Linked DNA regions of Tamandua tetradactyla. Each later gene encodes a partner of the first gene's protein in a complex. Links are inferred from orthologs where the notes say so. Each region holds a gene or a part of one and is shown on either strand. Other genes may lie near its edges.

Region 1 (11,143 bases):
TTTCAAAGTCCCAAAAAATAGACATATCTGACTCTTACACATCTTGCCAAAATGTCTCCTCAATTCAATATTTGATTAAATCAATAAGCCTTTTTGTAGTATTTACAAATGTGCCAAAATGAAGCTTTGCAATTCCTAGCCCTAACAAATTCCAAAGAATACTCTTTTATTCCTAAGGTACATAATTTAACAATATGTCTTCCTGTTCTTAAAAAATGCATACCATATTGCTTCCTCCTATAATTAGCATCAGAAGGACTGGGTGTGGAGTCTGCACCGGAGACATGAATAGAAACAACCAAGCACAGTCTGTACTCATCATCAGACTCACAAAAAGGTCTTTTGTGAGGTCAACTTGTTGCCACATATCTCCTCCTTAATTTATTTTCTTTTTACTGTAATTAATTCCTTCCCTGAGAACAAGGAAAGGTGTTGCTTTTAAAGCTGGATAAAAAGACAAATGAAATATGCTCAAAAGATTTTCTCAGTAGGAAAACAGACTGATTGCTTGTTTCCTAGGGGGGGAAAAGGAACCAAGGGATGTACACTCCCTTTTTCTTGAAACCACAATGACTCCAGTATAAAGGGAGGAAATTTAGACTTATTTCCAAATAGTAGGCCCTAACTATGACATTACTAACTGCAGTATTTTGGGAAAACCACTTGTTCTTTCCATATTTATTTTCTAACCTGTAGTATGGTTACTTTGCCAGACTGTGTTATGGAATAGATGACTAAACTAACAAGTCGATGAAATATCACAACATATGTGCTGGTTTAACTCAGAGAGTAATGTTAGTATGGGGAGTTATCAAAAAGGACAAATATTCCAACTCCCTCCTTCCTCCACATCTTTTTTTTCTACAGCCCTTCCAAGTGGTTGTCCATTCCAGGATTGTGTACAAGGAGTCACAGAGAACTAACTCACTACGTCTTGAGAGAAGCAATTCCTTCCTGATTATATTAATGGGAAAAAAGCATATGTGTGTATATGTACTTATTAATTGAACCATAATTCATTACTCTGGTATTTCAGTCATTAGCTCTCCTTATAATGCTCTTGGCCATACCCATACAGACTGAATCTAGCTCTTCTCCACCTGAAGACTTTTCAAATACCTAAAGTCAGCATTCAGGTGCCTGCCATGTCTTTTCTTCTCTCTGCTAGAATCAGACCCCAAGGACATGATTACAAGTTTCATAACCATTCTGGACATTCACCTTTACAAAGATCGTTGTTGGTTGTATTTATATGTGATGCCCAACATTTAATTTAGCCCAGGTGTGGTCTGAGGAAGCTTGAGGAGAGCAAATTGTAGGAGGCCAGTCCTGGAGGAGATCTCTGAGAACATCCTTTCCTCTTTTTATATGACAAATGAAGGCAGAGATTGAAGTGCTGAATTTCAAGACCCAGCTTTGTAACTAACTATGAGAAAAGTAATGCCAAGTTACTTGACCTTTCTGTCTGTTTCCCCAAGTGTCAAATAAAGGAATTATATTAAATGCTTGCCTAAGACCCTTCCAGTGCTTACATTCTATAAAGCTAACGGTAGTTTGGGTATCTGAATTATTAACATGATCACTGCCCAGATTGCCTCAACTCTCAAAACCTTTCAACCCCAAGGGAAATATAATGAAATCTCTTTAAAAGTGTTCAGTAGAGCCTATGCTGATATTTCTTATCTTTCCAAACTAACTTTTACATTGTTGTCCTGATATAATTGCAAGTCATAGAAAAGGTGTGACGAGTAAACTATGCTCCCACTTTTTAGAAGTTGAACTGACAAAATGTACCATGAATCACATTAAAATCTTTCACCCAAAGCTTGATAGCTCCCACATTTTAAGTAAATCATTTATGGAAAAACATATCATAACTCAAAGCTGGTACCACATTGCAATATGTAGGGTAACCTGAAGTCAAAGTTTTAATGATATTACTTTACCAGTAAAATTTAATGACACATTTCTTTCCCCTTCAGCATCAGTGACATGTTTTTCTTCTAGAACAAATTAGCATTCCCATATCATTAGATGAAAGCAAGAAATTCAAGACACAGTGCAAACAAAAAAGGGAGTGGGGTGTGAACACCAATTTACAATTAATTAAGAAAGGCATTTTGGCACCTCATTTTTAAAAAGAATCAAAACTGTGAAAAATTACAATATTATGAATATTTATACATTCATAAATTATGAGGTAAGTATTATTCTAATATGAATTTACCCATTCAACAAATAGTCTTTGAGCACCTTTTATGCATGAGGCACCCAGATAGGCGCTGGAGATGTAGCGTTTCATCTAAACTCAGCAAAAATTTCGAAGTGTAAAAATTATTTAAATCGCCCCTTGACTGCAATATACATTGTTTTGTGTGTCCAATAATTAGCTCCCATAATGAAATTAAATTAGACCAAGGGCAGTAATTTAAGGACAGAATATACGCAAGTATCTGACTATTTAAAACATTCAAGCTTTAAGAAAACTATCAAATACCCATCCACAAGGGTACAGAAAAAGAATTATAAAGTTTTCCTTCTTGCCCTCAGCATTTATTCTGTTTTGATTCACTCTTAAATCTCAAGAATATTCATGTGTGATAATTAACATTTTGTTTTGATTTTGAAGTTTAAACACAGCAATAGAGTCTCATTTGGTGGGATGAGTTGGAATTTAAAATCACTGGAATGAATATGCTTATGCTGGACTCCATTTTGAAGTAAAAGCATAGATTTGACTGTCAAATTCCATTTCCTTCTAGAAATTTTCCACCATGACTCCCTTAAACACATAGCAGGAGATGATTAATTCCTCCCTCAATGCATTTGTAACTTTTTTCACCTTTAATTATGATTATGTGAGTAATAGCACATGCCTCATGTCCTTTACCAGATTGCGAGTTCCTTGAAGGAAGTTTAAGTATAAAGAATACAGCTGTATTTCATAGGACCTACCAGAGGGCCTTGCATAAACTTATGCTTATTAAGTATATAATGCATAAATATATCCTCAGGATGGGATTCTACTGGACTCTGTTAAATTATAACAGTGCACTGAATTAAAAGCCAATAGCATGAGTTCTACTTTTGGCTTTGAAATTGCAATTTGGATGAATTATTTAAATTCCTAAATTCTTTACATTTAAAAATAGATAAAGTATATGCACTATAACTGGCTTATTGCAACCATCAGGTGAAATAATGGCTTTTTCATAAAAAAAAATCTTAGCATTAGCAAAGAACTCAAAGTGCCCAAGTTCAACCACCTATCCATGCCCAAAATGTTTATAGATAAACATCCCTCTAAGTAAAGAAGCCACTTATACAGGAATATGCTCAAAAATAAAGAAGTCTCCAGCCAATGTAGAGGCCCATTTTATAGTTATAAAGCTCTGAATATAATCAACAAGAGTGAACGTATAAGGAAACTCATGATATCATGTCACTCTATAATGAAAATTTTGCTTTATCTGTTTGCTTGATTGGCTCCCAACCTCTGAAGCAGTCTCACTATGGTCATTTACTAATTTTCTAAAAAAATCAACCTCACATTTTACAAATTGTATTCTTTCAACCATATTGATTTTGTTATGGCAGAATTTTCTTTAATTCTTTCCTCACAATAATTCATGAGAGATAAAAAATGTTTTTAAGATTCTGTATTCTATAATGCTTAGTATATGCAGTTTGTTGTCCTAAAAAGAGTGCTGGGTAGTGAGAAAGACTTACTGTTTGGTTCATCTAACTTCTCTAAGTCAAACGAACCTCTTTTATTAAAATTAGGCAACAAAACCTGTCACTTGCAACCTTGGTAAAGAGCTAACAAACTCTGCAAACAAAAGCATTTTAAAAGCATTGTAAAAATACAAAGGACTGGTATTAATAACGATTATAACACCGTATTCATCTTTTCCCTCTTCAAAATGCATTCAACATAAAGAAGAAATGAATTTAAAAGCAAACTTATGTTTAATTATTAAAGTTATACTTCACAAACATGTTCTACACAACAATAAAATTAATTCATACTTATCCCCATTTGTAAAACAATCAAGCTTTTAAAAATTGAACCTGCATATACTCATTGCAGAATGACTGTAAGAATAGCATCACATTCTTACCAGATGAAATATATACTTTATTCAGCACATTTATTATTCAGAATGAATCTCAGTCTAAGAGCTATACCTGCCTTCCAAATCTTCTGCCAAGGAAGACAATAAAAAAATGTAGTGATTATATATATATTTAATATTTAATATTTAATATTCCAAATTGAAAAATTGTTGTAAGTAAACGGATAATTTTCTGTAACAGGTTACTTGGTCTAGAACTAGCTGCAGTTGGAGTAATTTTAAAGTGGTAAAAACATTAGATGTTTAATGAAGAAGTAGAAAACTGAAAAACCTCTAGTAATAAATAGCAAAAGGCACCATTATAGCAAATGTACAAATAATGTAACATGCATTCCAAAAAGTTTCTCCATTTTTACTAAATCATGGTCACACTAACCCTCATATTGGCCCCAATCTGTCTTTCTAGACAGCTGGCATCCAGACCCTTCTCAGTAATAGAACTGATAAAATGGGGGCAACTCAAAGAATACAAAATAACAAGGATGTTTTAGTCTTATAAAATATGAAATTTTAACTGGTAATCTTTTGAGTCCATAATTAAGAAAATAAATGCAAAGGAAACTTACCTTCAGTGTGCACAGCTGAAACATAGGTCCAATTGTATCTCTTCACTATGTCCACCATGGCCCGTGCTTGTTGGGCATCTGAAGGCACAACCCTCATGAAGTACTTGAACAATGTCTTATCACTTAGATCCATGCTTGTTGCTGAGTAAGCAATCTGAGGTATGTTGAAAAGTTGGAGCAAATTCTGGACCTGAATGGCCACAGAACTGGAGCCAGGTCCAATGACCCCCACAATGGGCTTCTTGGAACGGAAGGAAGAGGAAGAGCCATCAACACAGCGCACCAAGCCCTCTTCCTCTTCTGAAGAAATGAGGGAGTCTCTTATGAACTCAATGCTCTGCTCTAGGGCTACAGCTGAATGCCAGCAGGAATCCCTTATCTCACAGCCCAACGTGATGTTGGGCAAGAGCGTGGGGTCTGAGTTGATCCTCTCCAGGGTATGCAGCATGGCCTCCACTCTCTGAATGCCATACTGTTCACGGACTGCCCCACACTTCCTCTCATGAACTTTGTCCACAGTGGGCTGATGGTGGACAGAAAAGAGAGCTCCAATAATGATGTCTCCTGGCATGTGGGCCACCACCCTCCTTTCACTGGACTGTGCACTCCCACGGACATCTTCTTTCAAAAGCAGGACTGTCAGAATCAACAGAAGGACCATTTTAGGAAAGGGGTTCAAGCTAATAAAGACAGCATGGTGAGCAAAATTAGGAGAGTTCTGATGGATAAAATCAAACAATGTCTTATGTTGAGTGGCAAGCCAGGGAATTAGCCAGAAATTTAGATGTGCTCTCTAAAGGACTACAATGTCCCCAAGTACAATTTAGTTAGATGCATCCATGTGATCATGATCTTCAAAACCTGAAAGAGAAAAATAGCATAGGTTTTTAATAACAAAAGTGCAATTAGTTTAGGTAAGCTTTAATTGCATGTGCTAGTGGAGAAAAAGAGGACTTTGATGAAGTAGCTAACCTAAAAGAAAAAAAGCATCAAAAAATCTTTCTGACTCTCCCTTGTCTCCTTTGTGATTTGATGAAGCAGCTAAGGTAGCTTTCTTTTTCCTTTATTAGAGAAGTTGTGAGTTTATAGAACAATCATGCATAAAACATAGGAACTCCATATGCCAATTCACCACCAACACCTTGCATTGCTGTGGAATATTTGTTACAACTGATGATAACACATTTTTACAACTGTATTATTAATTAAAGTCCATAGTTTAAATTAGGGTTCACTGTTTGTATACTGTAGTTTCACAGATTTTTAAAAGAATTCAGTTATCGTATATACATTCTAACATTTCCCCTTCTAATCATGCGCATATATATTTTTTAGTGCTGTTATGGCATGGCTTCTTGACCCTGCCTGGCTTGGATTAATATTTTTATTTGTTCATACAGAGTACCCAGAACCAAAACTTCTGTGTAGCAGGTAAAACTTGAGTATTAGGCAGAAGTGAGAGTATTCTTGAAGCAAAGTTATGTCATGATCAGAAAATTTTAGGGAATATATGTTCCAAAACATTAAACCTTGGAGGGCTCTGGGTTATGATAGTTTTGGTTTGCTTTAAATTTCAATATAGGTTTTATTTCAAAGTTCTCAGTATTGAGAAAATATTACTTATGCAATTAAAAACTAAAGTTACCAATTTTAAAAGCTTAAGTACTCCCTCCATGAACACAATGTAAAGCAGATTGAAAAATGTATCCAGGAAGGAATAAGCATTTTTGTATTTTTTATATAAAAGAAAGTGAGTGCAGTTGGATATTTCCAAATTAAATAAACTGTAGGGAAGAAGGAGGAGGTTTGAGATATTGCAAAGAAAAATGCTCTCCTAATAGGCCACAAAGCATAATGAAATGAGCATGAATTTTTGTAGAAAAGAACACTCAGGCTCAAGTTCTGGTATTGAAGAGATATTGGTAAATTGTTTAACCTCTCAGTATCTGAGTTTCCTCATTTCAAAGTGGGAATAACATGTGCTAGGTCTCCCTTACGGGAATCAATATAAGATATCAATTATGTAAATGCTTTGTAAATTAAATAGTGATATATGTATTCAAGACATGATCTTTTTTGTTATTAAATTTTCAAGGGCATTTTGTGGCTTGGTGGTGAGGACACAAAATTCTCTGGCAATCCACTAGGTCCTCCAGAGAGTCTTCAAAATAATTACAAAGTTTTGTAATAAAATTTATAGTAATCAGTTCTCTAGCCCTGATTCAGAAAAAAATTCCACATTGAGAAGGCTCAAAAAGCTGGAAGGATGTAGTTTGAAGCTATCTCTTCAAGTAGAAACTTGGTACAGCTAGCAATACAGTCACCTGTTTCTGTTTAAATCCTGGGGGAAAAAAGGTGATTTTGTCCCAAATCGGTTATAGAAAATTCTAGCATAATGATTTTGGTTTTAAAAGATTGTATAATATACTTTTTTTTCGGATGTTATTATTTCCACCAGCAGAGACTCAAATTGTTTTCAAGTGACTAATTCCCAATACACCATCTCTCAAAAAACAGGTGATATTTCTTCAGGAACTTATGTAAAAATTATGACGCCTCTTAAAAAATATTAATGTTTTTCAAAACTCATCAGGTTTTAGGTCTGCAAAAATTCAGTTCAGATACAAAATGAGTATAGCCTGAATCCCATTTCTAATCACTCCTAACCCCACTTTCACTCTTTCTTCCTACTGTTTCCTATGGCAACAGAGAAGACTATTCCTGTATAGTACCAAACACTAAAATTTATAAAGCTCATTCATTCTAGTGTTTTGCCTTAAGAAAGGAAGGAAGTTCTGATACATGCAACGACATAGATGAACCTTGAGGATATAATGTGGAGTGAAGTAGGCCAGACACAAAAGGACAACTACTGTATGAGATCACTGATATGAAATAATTAGAGTACAAATTAGCAGGGGCCAGGGTGGGACAGGAAATGGGGACTTAATGCTTAATTGGAGCAGAGCTTCTGTTCGACTTCATGGCTAAGTTTTGGTGGTGATGATAGCACAATATTCAAATGTAATTAGTAGCACTGAATTCTACATTTGAATGTATTTAAAAGGGGAAATTTTAGTTTGTATATATGCTACTAGAATAAAAAATTTACAAAGCAGCCCATAGGATTACACAACATAGACCATGAACTCTCATGTAAACTATGAACTACAGTTAACAGTATAATTATAATAATATTTTTCATCAATTGCTACAAGCATACCACACTAATGCAGAGTATTAATAATAGGAAATTTTGCATGTTGGAAAGAGGGCATCTACAAGAACTCTGTATTTCCTGCATATCTTTTTTTTTTTAACTATAACTCCTCTAAAAAAATAAATTTAAAAAAACCCATTCAAATAACTGGATATTCCCAAATAACTAGAATTTTGATAATTTAAAATATTCCTATATGGCAAAAGGGAAGGGAACAAAGACTGATATTAATGTTCTCATTGGGAAATTTTCTGAATGTTCTCAGGCCTGGCTTTCACTTTCCGTAAACCAAAGACTGGTGATCAATGCTTATTCTCATGGTCATGTGAATTTGAAAGGTCTGAAATAAAAGGAATCATAATTCCTCATTAAATTCAGAATATAGTGAGCAAACTCAGTGAAAAACAGAGCTCATTTTTATTATGTAAGAGCACCAAAGTGATATGAGATGTACAATATTGAGACACAGTATGCACATTAAAATAAGCAGAGATTGTCTTACTATAATAGACTAAAAGTTAATTAATTAATTCATATGCAAATATCTATTTGAGTGAGAGAGACTAATGTAACAAAGAAGCACAATAATATTGTTATTTGATAACAATTGTTAATTCTGGTCATTATCTGTCACTGAACACCCATTTTACACCAGGCATTTATTCATTTTCTCAATGGATGTTTATGGCATACCTATGCTATAACAAACTTCTTGTCAAATTGAGGATTCAACTGCGAACAGGGTGTGTGTGCTCCCTATCCTTGCAGGTCTTACAGATTAGGAGGGGGAAGAGAAATAATAATAAAATAAGCAAATGATTACACTCCTTGAACTGGAATGAATTAACTGAAAAAGAATAGTATTATGATACCAACTTAGAAAGAATGGATAAAATAAAGCTACTCTAAAAGGTGATGTTAGTGAGAATTGATGAATGCAAAGAACAATGAAAAGAAGACTGAAAATAATGGGAAGTATGAAAAGAAGCCAGTCACCTGAAAAATGAGGCTATTAGAGCACAATAACAAAAGGAATGGTGGTCCAAGATGAGATTGGAGAGGTAAGAAAGGGCCAAGCTATATAGAATCTTGTAGGCTCAAAAAGAATTTAGATGTTAAAGTGCAAATGAAATCCATTGAGGACAGGTAAGGAAATGGTTGACACAATTGAATATAGAATTAGAAAAGATAATTCTGACTGCTCTTTATTCTGGATAAATGGATTAAAGAAATCTGATTGGGAGACTATTGTAATAATCTAGGTTAGTAATGATACTGGCTTGGCTGTGATGGAAGTGATGGATATGGAGAGAAATGGACACAATCATATCTAATTTGCCAGTAGAATCAACTGGCCTTGCTGACAACTTGAATATGGATCATAAAGTAAAGAGGAATCAGGATCTACTCCCAGGTTTTTAATCTGAGTAATTAGTGCATTTTGCTACCATTAACATAGGTACAGAAATAGATGGGATAAAAGAAAAATGGATGAGTTTCTTTTAAACATGTTAAATGTCAGATGCTTTTGAGGCACCCAGGTACAGGTAACAAGCAGGAACACAAGTACATAAGGCCGGAGATTAGAAGAGAATTTTGGTTTAGAGAGGTAAACAGAGAGTCAACAATATGTAAAATCTTTGGATGAATGCAATCACCTGGGGAGCAAGTATACCTTGAAAAAATGTGGAGCTGAGCAGTAAGCCCCACTGAGTGATCAAGTTGTAGGTAAGGCAGCTAGGGGCTGAGGCGACCCAGAAATTCAGGACAAAAAGCAAGAGCAAAATGTGAGGGAAGCCAAAAGAGAATGTTCTGGACACTTTATATTCACATACATACACAGAGATTTCACTTTGCAGAGAATACATCAAGTTACCCTGGAGGGCATTATAGTCTGTTTTTTGTACCCTGAAAATGTGTGATTCAATTGCCGTGTCTGTATAATTCTTTGTGTGTTTGCATATAAGTGTGTGATCTGTGTGTCGATAATCCTTATAACAATCCTGACAGGTAGGTATTTTATTACCTCTGTTTTACAGATGGTATAACAGGTTTTGATAAACTAGCCGACCACTTAGAAAATGATGAGCTATATTTCAGGTTGATGTCTATTGATTCCATTACATGCCCCCTCATCACTCATTCCTGCAGATGTGGTATGCCCAAAGTCCATAAAAATGGAAGGGGCTGTGAAACATCAGAATGGACTCTTACAAGAGTTTGCCTTGCAAACTAGGGGGTGAAGAGCATTCCAGGAAAAGAAAAGATAATTCAGCATGCAAAAAATGCAAGTGTGTATTATTATCCAGTACAAATATATTTACATTTCTCTGTTATCCACTATAAAAGTTGATTGCACAATGGCTATCATGAGCTACAGTGCTTAGATGCCTGAAAAGGACCCTTTAAATCATGACATAGAAATGTGCCATAATTGTGCTTCAATTTAGTTTTTCATATGATTAAACAAAAACCAACTCATGTACTCCCAAAATATGACAAATTAACAGAACATAAATTCCAACTAGATCATAAAGGGGTATATAAGCTCTATCAACATCATCCATCTGTTTAATAAATGCTTATCAAATGAAGCATTCTACACCAAGCACTCTACAAGCCTAAAAATTCAGTCATGGACAAAATAGACATAAAACCATGCACTTATGGAATATATAATCAAAGAGGGGCTAGTCAGACAACAGACAGAATAAGTAGGTAAAGTATTGTATGCTAGACAATGATAAGGGCTAAAGAAAAATATAAGGCAGGGAGGTTGAAAGAAAGTGTCAGAGATATGACAACTTTTGAACAACGTGGTCAAAGAAGGATAAACAGGAAATATAACAATTGAGTAAATACCTGAAGAAAGTAAGGGAACGAGTCAAGAAAATATCTACAAAAAGAACACTCTAGGTAAAGGTAAAAGCAAATATAAAGTCTCCAAGGCAGAAGAGTTGAGGCCTGGAGCAAGGTTGTATTCACTCTGTTTGAACTTTGAAAAGACTTTGGCTTTAACATTGCATGAGATACTTAACCCTGAATGGTTTTCAAAAGAGTAGGGACAAAATCTGACCCACATATTAAGAAAAGGACACAAAGATAGAACCATTGAGAACAGTTAGGGATGAACTGCCCTAATTCTGGTGGGAGATGGCAGTATAGGTACTAGGAAGTGGTAGGGAATCTGTATATATTTCCGAAGTACAGTGAAAGTGTTC
Region 2 (10,837 bases), on another chromosome or scaffold:
TAATTTAGGATTGCCTGGATAAAACTTTAAAGGTTATTTAAAGCTCAATTTTCTTTTGTTTTAAGTAGATCCAGGTGGCTATGTTTATTACACAAACAATTTAACAGGTATAAAAACCTACAGATAATAGAAACGTGCACAAATGCCTTCTTTTTATGCTCTTCTTTTCTATGTCCACCTATCCTTCTCTCCACAACTCCCAGAGACTAAGTCACTATCAATGAGAAGGCCAATATGGACTTTCAGGAATATAACACTATAAATACTCCTTTCCCTCTTCAGTCCACTTTTAAGGTCTTATTAACAGAAAACTAAACAAATTAGTTTATACATAAATTTAATTACACTGAAAAGTCTAAATGTGTTGTGGCGGGGGAGAGGGGGAGGGCTTGTTTTATATTTTAAATACTAGTCCTTTTAGTATTTAACCTCAACCCAGACTTCCTTGGTGAAATGATGGGCATTCATGCTAAAAGTCTGTTAAACTAATGTTGTACCATGGTGCCACAATCTAGAGAGAATGCAGTCTTCAACACGAAAAACTGCCACTTGAATTTTTTCCTCCAAAACATTCTAAACAGAAGAGCTGCAGATTCTCCAGAGAAGCCATGTTCAAAGGTTTTGAACAGTAGTGCTTTTTGGAATTTCTTATTTAAAATCAGTGCAATTCATCTGAAATATTTTTCAAATACCATTATTTTCCAACTTGCAAAAGTGCTCAAAAAAACTGCTCAAAGAAAATAAATCTCTCCATCTGAAAAGTCTATTTCAAGAAATTAGTCATCACTAAAACAGAAAGGAGGAGAAAAACGATAATTGTTACAAGTTGGAAAAATCTCTAAAACCTATCTAGGTTCTTCATTTTACAGTTAAGAAAACAGAGTCCAGGTAGAGGTTAAGAAATTTGCCTCAGATCACTAAGCTACTAATAGCAACACTAGAAACAGAAGGAGGTATTTTAATTGCTCACAGCAGTACACCAAATCACGCGAGTTACATATGTTCTCATCACTTGACGTTTAAGTTTTAAAAAACAACTGTCACTGAGGAAATTAATTCCTGAGGAAGGGCTCCTACAACATGCGTTCTGAAATTTCAAACTTGTTAAAATAAACAAATTCCAATTTCAACAGAAAAAGGTAGTACTAACCAAGAGCTTTTCTCAGCAAGTTTCAAGCAGGGAGTGTATACCTCTAAACTGTCACTATGAAATTTCAGAGTCTGTCGTTTCAAAATTCGTCCCTCAACTACAGTTTACATGTGTTTGTTCAACCATAAAACAGAAAATTCTGGAAGTTCCTCTTTAACGGAAAGCATCCACAATCTGTCAATGAAATGAGTAGGTCATTACTTATATTAAAACATTATGGAAAGAAAAAACAAAAGAAAAAATATTATGCGTTTCTGGCTTAAAATAAGAAGTCACCAACATTTTATCAGGTACTATGTGAATGAATAGACTTAATAAAGTGTAGGTAGTGGTAGGCTTTGGGTCTGAAGGAAGGTGTCCATCTAAGAGTAACACTAACAGAAGACCTAAGCTGACCTAAGCTTAAAAGCAAAAAAAAAAAAAAAAAAAACAGAAAAATGATCAAGTTCCTTCAACAGAAAGCTTTTTCCTTTTCAAGCTTTCATCTCCTGAGAGTACTGGCACTCTTGAGATTGCATTAAGAAGACAGATTTTCACTGTAATAGTCCTAATAAATCAATTACATACACCTTAGCTTTGGATTATCCAAGGGCAAAACAGAGGGCACAATGAGGGCAACAATTTACTCTGGATCATTTCAAGTGTTGTAGTTTAACCACTCATTACTTTGGATTATGATTGTTCCCTTTGTGCAACTGACTAATTCCCAAAGTACTGCGAGAATGCAGTACTTGCTTTTGAAAGACAAATGGCAAAAAAAAAAAAAAAAAAAAAAAAAAAAAAAAAAACTCCAACATAATTTTGACTACGAACTGATGCAGCTGTTTGACCAGCAACAAGCAGAATGCCCTGTTTTCTTAAACATTACTGATAAAAAATATATTGAGGCTACTAAGGACATACATACCGCTCCTTAACTATGACCTCCCGGTGTCACTCTAAAAGAACACAAAATAATCTGTTAAAAGGTTAAACACCTGTATTTAAATATATATATACACATATAACCAACTTAGCAAGGCAGGTGGCAAATGTGCATGACCACCACAAAACACAATCAGCACCAACCCTCACTAACACACACGCACAAACACATTCGAAGTTGTGTGAAGCACAAAAATCCTTACCCCATTTTGCCAAATGAAAACTTGCTCTGAAGTTTCTGCTCTTGGCTACGGAATAACTTCCAAAGGAATTTCTCGGCCGGCTATTTCGCAGCTGTTTTGCACCCCCGAGATCCTTTTTCCGGGGTCTTTCGTGAGGCTGACGACTCAATCCGTCCCCTTAGATAAGATGCTCTCTCTCTCGTAAATACCAAAACGTTCAAACACACTGAGGTGGCATTTGCTTATGCGAGTTAAAAGGCTTCGCGGAGGAAAGAGCGGGCAACTCTATTCCACAGAACGAGCTTATACGTAGGCAAACGCGGAATCCAGCTTCACCGAGTCCAGTTAAACCTGAGTTCGCTGGTCATTTCGCTCGTGCCCTCCTCGACACTCAGGGAGAGCCAGGTAACCCGGCCTCTTCGGTGCTACTGAGGCCGCCGGGTCCAATTTCTCCACACCAGGTCCCTGGGGGTGGAGCGTGAAACCCAACGCGACGTGCACTTTAAAGATCCCTACGGGAAAAATAAAAATTCTAAAAGCGCAATGCCATCGCCTCTCTGCGCTGGCATTAGAAAGAAAAAAAAACACATACAAAAATCTCTTCCCCGAAGTGCAAAAGCCGGCAGCTCGCGACGTGCACAACACTCCACATGGGAATCTGTCCTTCTAAAATTTTTCCCTTCCTAAGACTAGGAGCAGAAAGGAGGCGGAGAGGAGGAAGAAAAGACCGGGCAGGATCGATTCACTCTCCCGAGGAGAATAAACGGAGCCATTTCCAGGCTGGCAGCAGGCTGGGGGAGAGCGCACGCCGGGGAGCAGCGGGAGGGGGTGACCCCACCTCCCTCAGCCCCTTCCCGCCCCCCGCCGCCAAGCACAATGGAGCCCGGCTCGAGCCTGGCCCTTCATTCGCGGCTGCCCCCTCTTCCCTGCTCTCTTCGGCTCCCAGCGCGTCTGCGGCTCGCGTCGACAGAGAATGAATGAATCGGAAAGCCGAGCCCCACGCTTCCTCCGGCCCCCGGCCCCCGGCTCCGGGAGAACCGAGCGCGATGGCGGAAGGGCTGAGGGGAGGCGGGCGCCCGCCTGAGCTGTGGCGGGCAGCTAAGCTCGCGTCGAAGAGAGGGACTGAAGCTCGCAGCCTCCGGAGAGCTGCCGCTCGGGCGCCCGCACCTCACAGCCTCGCCGCTCGGGCTCCGTGCCGCCGCCGCGCGCCGCCTCACGTTCCCCGGGCCCCGCCGCCGCCTCCTCACGCTTCCATCAGCGCCCGTCTCCGCCGGCCTCCAGCTCCCGCTCCGCAGAGCAGCGCCCGTCCGGGCGGCCCCAGACCCGCCGCTGCCTCCGCCTCCTCGGCCGGCTCTTTGGGCGAAGAGCGCCGCTTCCCAGGTCTGCGCCGCCGGCGTGAGGCGGGCGCGGCGGCGAGGCAGGCTGCTGGGGGCGGAGAAGGGGCGGGGAGAGAGCGGACGAGAGCGGGCCCTCCCCCTGCGCTCGGGACGAGCCGGGAGACGGCCGCCGAGGAACTGCGGCGGGACGCTAACCCGTCGCGAGGGCCCGCTGGGGCCCAGCGGAGAGCGGGAGCCTGGTGGCCAGGGGCCGAGGCGGCCTTTATGGGAAGCTAGACAGGCCGGTTGGCAATTCCGTCCGTCAGTCTGTCCTTCCTGCCTTCCTTTCCCCTTCCCTAGTGGCCGGCGGCGGGCAGGCCACGCGCTCTGCTCCTCGGCTCGCTCCTGGCCCCACTACCGGCTGCCACGGGCACCTCCGCTGCCCACACCAGGTGCTCGCGCTGTGTCTCCATCCTCCCGCAGGAGGCCCTTTAAATAGCAACGTCAGCGCGCTTCGCTCCGCACGCGCGTCACCCGCCGCTCTCGTCACCGGGGTGCGGGGGATGATGTCACGCGGCCGGAAGTACTGCTAAATTAGGGAAGGAGCAGGGGAGGAGGACTTGGTGAACTCCTCTGTGCCCACCTGCTCTGGCTGCTCCATAAAGGCCAGAGCACCGGAGACAACTTGAGAGAAGCTCGGAGAAGGAAGCGGCGGGAGGAGGAGATTTTCTTGCAATGAATGTGCCAAACCCAAGTGAATCATTCATAGCAACAGTGCTGAAGTGTCAAGTGGGTGATATCCTATTTTACACTCCCACCACCCTGTTGCCGCAGCATCCCCCGGCTTCACACGTCCCAACCCGTAGGGAAATGTGGGAGGGAGAGCCTGATCACTAGTGGTGTATACACTTCCATGATTTGGGTAAATCACCTTAATATTTAAAGATTTATTAAATGCACATCGGGACATAGTAGACTCTACTCCCTCCCCACTTAGTGGTTACCTAAACACGAAAGAATCAAGAGCTGGACCATAAACAATTCTTAAAATGTTATAAATGATAGTAATTCATCATTATAGTAATTCATCAGTAAGAGAGCTCATTCACATAATTTTCATCATATACATAGCAAGTTCCAGTGTACCCTCTAGGTTCCACTTTACCAAGAGCATATTTCTGGTTTTGGGAAGTTATAAGAAAGACAACCAAATCCTTTTTTAATAAGAGCACATTGATTATTTTGTTATCTATAGTTTTGACCATATAATATATAATTACAACATCTCTAAAATATGTTGTTTCACATTCCTATATGACAAAGGTGAGTAACCATCTACTCACAAGCTGTATGTGTGTTTGGTCCATAACTTATCAAAATATTTATTGTGGTTATATATATATGTGTATGCATATGAATATATATATAACATAAAATTTATTATTTTAAGTGTACGGTTTAGTGACATTAACTCCACTCACAGTGTTGTGCAGCCATCACCACTATCCATTGCCACAACTTTTTCATCACCCCAAACAAAATCTCTGTACCCATTAAGAAATAACACCCCATATCTCCCTCCCCTGCCACTCTTCTCCCCCACCTCTAATCTGCTTCTGCAACTTTCCTTATTCAGATATTTAGTATAAGTGGAATCATACAATATTTACCTTTGTGTCTGTCTGCTCACTTAGCTTAATGTTTTCTAGGTTCTTCCATGTAGCATATATCAGTGCTTCATTCCTTTTATGACTGAATAATATTCCATAGTATGTGACCACATGTTGTTTATCCATTCATCTGATGATGGAAATGTGCATTGTTTCCCATTTTTGGCTATTTTGAATAATATTGCTATGAAGGTTGGCATACAAGGATCTATTTGAGTCCCTGTCTTCACCCCTTTTGGGTATATACCTGAAAGCGGAACTACCAAGTAATATGGTAATTCTAGGTTTAACTTTTTGAGGAACCATCAAATTGTTTTCCACAATGGCTGCACTGTTTTACATTCCCGCTAGCAATACACATTTGAAAAAAATAGTAGTCATCCTAGTGAGTGTGGGGAGTATCTCATTATGGTTTTTTTGTTTGTTTGTATTTTGGCTGTCAAATTATCTCTTATTAAAATATTTTTCATTGTAGTTCTTTCTGGCTCCACATTCCACTGCACCACTGTTGATGTCATCTATGATGTCATGAGATAGTGGACATGGACACTGCAGCCCACAGAATGGACAGTTCCCAGAATCTCTTTAATGGTCCAGAGAGTTCTCTGGCTAAAGATTGGTGCTGCATCTGTTGGGCAAGGCTTACAATCTTATTAGAAGTGGTATTTCCACTGTGCTTAGAGTTTTTTGCTTCTTTCTAATACTGAATGGTTCCTTGAGGTTTGATGATCAGGGCAGAAGCAGAAGATACCAGCTCAATCTGAGCCATTCTTTTCCAAGTGGTCAGTTTCACTGTACTTCTTAGAACTATCACCAACCTTTTTTGAAGACAGAAACAAAGGGTTGATCTTTGGGGCCAGAGCAGACATGGCGCTGACCTCCCTACCAATGCGCCTGAAGTCAACAACTTTGATCTCATTGTGGCTTGAACTTGGGTGGCAAAATGGAGGTAGCCTGTTAGATGAACCTGGATGCCAACCAAAGTTGCACCTTGGCCTCCTCCAAGTTAGAGGCTGAAAGCCTCATTGTGGTTTTTATTTGCTTTCCTTAGTGACTAATGATGAGTATCTTCACAGCCATTTGTATGTCTTCTTTGGAGAAATGTCTATTCAGGTCCTTTGCCCATTTTTAAAATTGGGTTGTTTGTGTTTCTGTTGTTGAGTTGTAGGAGTATTTTATGTATTCTGGATATAAAACCCTTGTCAGATATATGATTTGCAACTATTTTCTCCCATTATCTTCTCATTTTCTTGCTAATGTCTTTTGATGCACAAAAGTTTTCGATTTTGATGAAGTCCAATTTATCTGTTTGTTCTTTATTGCTTGTGTTTTTGGTGTCATATCTAAGAATCTGTTGCCAAATCCAAGGTCATTGAGAATTCCTTCTGTGTTTTCTTCTAAAAATTTTATGGTTTTAGCACTTCTATTTGGGTTGTTATTCCATTTTGAGTTAATTTTTTTATATGGTGTGAGGTAGGGGTCCAGTTTCATTCTTTTGCATGCAGAAATCCAGTTTCACAAGCACCATTTTTAAGAGTCCATTCTTTCCCTATTGAGAAGACTTCGCACCCTTGTTAAGAAATCAACTGGTCAAAACCCCAACCAACATCATTCCTTTTAGCCCTAAAAATCAGCCAGGGCTCTACTTGAGATCCTACAAAAGTTGTATTTGCTAAGTTTACTTTTCAGAAATCTAAAACCTCCAGATGGTTCCTAGGCCAGATAACTCCTGAAAGCCAGAGGTACCATTCTCTCCAAGAACATCAACCAGTTCCGTCTCACTATCTCATGTTGTTGACACCCCTTTTCAACATGAAAAAAGTTAGAATGGGCATAACCCAAATATTCCTAAAGATTAGGAGAAGCATCAAAGGAGAAGGAGGAGATATAACAGAGAAGTTAAGATTTAACAAATAATTATGACTACTGAATCATTATATTGCTATTTCTTTTTAGTCTCCAGTGTCATGGAGCAGCCAAAAGGAAAAACCTGAAATTGTGGAACTGCAGCCCATATCAAACTTTGAAATCTGTTCTATAACTTCTTATTAAAATGTACTTTGAAATGTGTTGCTTTTTTGTATTTTTGTTATATTTCACAATAAAAAAAATGCTTTTAAAAAGTGAGGCAGCATATCTAACAAATTATTTAACTGAAAAAAAAAAAAAAGTCAGTTGGCCATAGATGGAATCCCAGTTCTGTTCCATTGTTCTCTATGTCAATCCTCATATCAGTACCACACTGTTTTGAATGAATGTTTTTTAAACTGTAAATAACTATAGTGTTTAAATACCTCCATTATTTTAACACAGCTTCTTATTAGGAAGATTTTTTTTTAATGTTGAAATTTTCATTCAAGTTAACTCGATAATCATGGCCAAGAAATAGAGTAACTACATACTGCTAATAGCTATTACATATAAAGTTAGTCTATAATTCAGCAACCATGTTTTCCAAACCAAATCAGGACACATGATTTAAAATAATAAAAATATTTGAAATCTGAAGTGACCCGGAACATCTAGGACATAAGATTACCAACCTATAAAGTATTATTAGGGTAGTTACAAATCAATATCAATGTAGTTTAAACAAAAGAAGCTAAAACTTTATAGAATTCATACCATGTATGACTTTTTAAAATGTTTTAATATTTAACTATTCATATGATTCCTAATTACTGAACATTAGTTTGCAGCTTTCTGCATTTAAATTTTCTTCCTCAACTTAAGAACCCAAGATTAAAGGATACTGGCAAAAAAAGAAAAAAAAATCTAGGACCAATTTACAACTAAATCAGGCTTTCTGATCATCTTCACATAATAAAATCATGATCCTGCATTGATTTCAGAATTTGCTTCGAGTTTGAAATGTTTAAGCTAGTGAGTAAAAATGTTAAAAGGTTATAACTAAAGGTTAATCAAAATCAAATCCCTTCTTGCCAATTTGTCTAATATATATATTATTATCATATTAATAGAAACTTGTAATAACATATTTCAGGCAAATGGAGCTTCCTACTTCTGTATAAAATATTAAAACAATAAAACTGTCATTTTTCAAATAATGTCATCTCTGGACCCTTCCAAATTAAAAAACAAATTAACTAAAATTTCTCTACAAACTGTTTTCTATCTGAACTCAATTGTTTTCCGGCTCTTTTCTTCCATGTTAATAAAAGTTCTCACATTACCGTTTTTCAAACACTTCATTCTGCCCTTTCATCACAGCTTCCTGTGTTTTACAATCTTTTCTTTCCCTCATCTTTACCTAGCTGTCAAAACAGAATGTCGGCTGCCTCCCTGCCTTTAGAACGCTGACCCTTCATTAGAGTTTCCACTCTTTCAAGCTGCATGGTTCCTTCTCAGCTGCTCTTTTGTCAATTGAAAATTGACAGTAACTTTTTCTACATAAATCTAATGATGCTCTGTGATATAATTACCCAAAGTATATGTGATTATTTAACTTTGGCCTTTGCTCAATTCTAGAAAATTCTACCTATAATTGGTTAATTTTTATTTCTAGCTTGTGCGGGATGAATATATCAGGGAATGCTTATATCCACGTACCCAAAGGAATAAATGAAACTTTTTATGTAATATGGAATGTCTTCTCAGAAAGAAAATAAATAATCCTAGGGTAAGTTCTTCTTCTCCCCCCTTGAAATGATTTCCAATACAATTTTGACAGGAATCAGAGAACCATTGTATAGTTTTCCATCTAAAAATACATATCTTTTCTCCTAAAATAGGCTGATGTAACCCAAATTCCAATCAGGAATTTCCAACCCTAATTTCTTTGTGTGTTTTTAAAGTAGTGAACTTCCTAGAAAGTAATTTATTTTCTTTTACCGGAAGAGGCAAAAAGTACATTAGTAGAGTTTCGAATTCTTAACAGTTCCTGTTTCCCACTTATGCTCTGGAAATTTGTGGAGAGGTTTATGAATACCCTCTGATTTTAGAATCTGTGGGCGAAGGCATCTGTTTTAGTTACAGAGTTTACTTCCATCCCCTTAATAGGAAATGGCAGTCTTCAATGGGGTGTTCATAGATTGGTCAGGAGATAGATATTTTTCAATGAAAAGAGATCTAGGTCAGAAAAACTTCGCAAGAGAGTAAAAGCCAAATTTTATTTTGAATTATCTAACTGATAATATCAACCCCCTTTCAAGCTCCCTAAATCTTTTTAATTGGCAAAATACTACTATCACTTCAAATGTAGTAATAGGTAAAAAGATATCTCTCTATAATAAAAAATGCTCAAGATTGCTAGTTTCTATCATATAGTTATAAAGAAACTAAATAACCAACTAAAAGCAATAAGAATGAAAGCATTATATAAAAATTTTCCAGTCATCCCCTCTCCCCCACAATATAACAGATACTGGGTATCATTGAGTTGTGTTGCTTGTTTAAACAGAAGCAGGTTAATTAATAGCCTCAAGAGTGGGAATATGTTTGGCCTCACTGAGACAATTGCTTGAGGACAATTTTTACTCCTCTGCGTGCACTATTTTCTGAGTGGTTGGAGGTGCAAGGGAGAGGGAAGTTAGAGAATTATCACAGGAAAGATATGACATAGAGCGCATGGGAAATGATTCCAAACAGTTACCTTCTACTCTGATAATGACTGCAAACTCGTTGTTTGCAGAATATGATGAAAGGGATACAAGTATGACACTGGACTTGTAAAAGAACATACCAGAAAAATTTTAGTTAGGTGCCATGAGGAGATCATTGTACAACTAAAAATGCAAAATTTCAAGGCATTCAGAAGAGACAGGGATATGGTGCCTTGAAAAAGATGCATATCTGCAGAGAGCTACCAGTCCAAGAATGTGGAGTAAAGCTTGTGCTGTACCTATGCAGTTACTTAGAATGGAATGCTGTGAAGCTGATTGCCATGGTAACCAGTAATCTTTTTCCTGAATGGAGGAACAGGACAACCGTAAGAAAAATGTTTCAAATGAGCTACCTTATTTTATGATTCTTTTGGTGCCAGCTAGGTGAAAAACAACACCAAGGCATTTAGGGCAGCCACGCTTATGAAGCAAAGTTGACTTCTCTTTAAAGAGAGAAGATTCGAAGCAGAAATGTGGGGCTATTTCAAAGGCAGAGATCCGTTTAAGATGGTAATTGTAAACTCAGTAGCTGAACATAATTGGTAACGACTGATATGGCTAAAACAGGTAGATGCAATACCTAGAATACATTAAAGTGTCTTCCAAGTATAAGGTATTAAAGGTTCTTCCAAGTAAAAGTGGTCAGAAAGAAAACATTTGGGGTTTTTAGCCAAACGATTGCAAGAGTTATTCATGAGGCTTTTCATTTCTTTCAGTCTGGTTCTAAATAGTAATTTCTATAAAAATAAAAATGGAAATGGTAAATATATCTTCAGTCAATATCTATTCTGTTATTTTAATAATGAGTTATGTTTTATCTGTGTGTGTATGTGGACAAGCACACGTTTGGGTTGTCTGCTAAAATTCTTTACATATAGAATAAAATCCAAACTCCAAAAAGAAAAGAAAATTTTTAAAAATTAAAAAAAAATAAAATCCAAACTCCATGGCGTGGCCTAAGAGGCACTGCATG

What was found. Proteins that work in one complex are often made in the same cells at the same time.
Region 2: the proteins of GRM5 (region 1) and HOMER1 are in contact, whole or in part, in a crystal structure (PDB 1DDV), measured with the Rattus norvegicus proteins. The link is inferred for Tamandua tetradactyla from reciprocal best matches to the Homo sapiens genes GRM5 and HOMER1. Residues at the interface, in XP_006229721.1 of Rattus norvegicus: Thr1155, Pro1156, Pro1157, Phe1160; in NP_113895.1 of Rattus norvegicus: His12, Phe14, Trp24, Thr70, Ser71, Gln72, Lys73, Phe74, Gly89, Phe90.

The regions. Positions count from the first base shown.
Region 1 is NC_135334.1:55,145,756-55,156,898, reverse strand, and holds the start of GRM5 (metabotropic glutamate receptor 5), read right to left. Parts: upstream 5,364-11,143; coding exon 4,703-5,363; intron 1-4,702. UniProt on the Homo sapiens protein: G-protein coupled receptor for glutamate. Ligand binding causes a conformation change that triggers signaling via guanine nucleotide-binding proteins (G proteins) and modulates the activity of down-stream effectors.
Region 2 is NC_135347.1:52,071,902-52,082,738, reverse strand, and holds the start of HOMER1 (homer protein homolog 1), read right to left. Parts: upstream 5,260-10,837; 5' UTR 5,243-5,259; intron 3,437-5,242; exon of another isoform or gene 2,769-3,436; 5' UTR 2,283-2,768; coding exon 2,278-2,282; intron 1-2,277. UniProt on the Homo sapiens protein: Postsynaptic density scaffolding protein. Binds and cross-links cytoplasmic regions of GRM1, GRM5, ITPR1, DNM3, RYR1, RYR2, SHANK1 and SHANK3.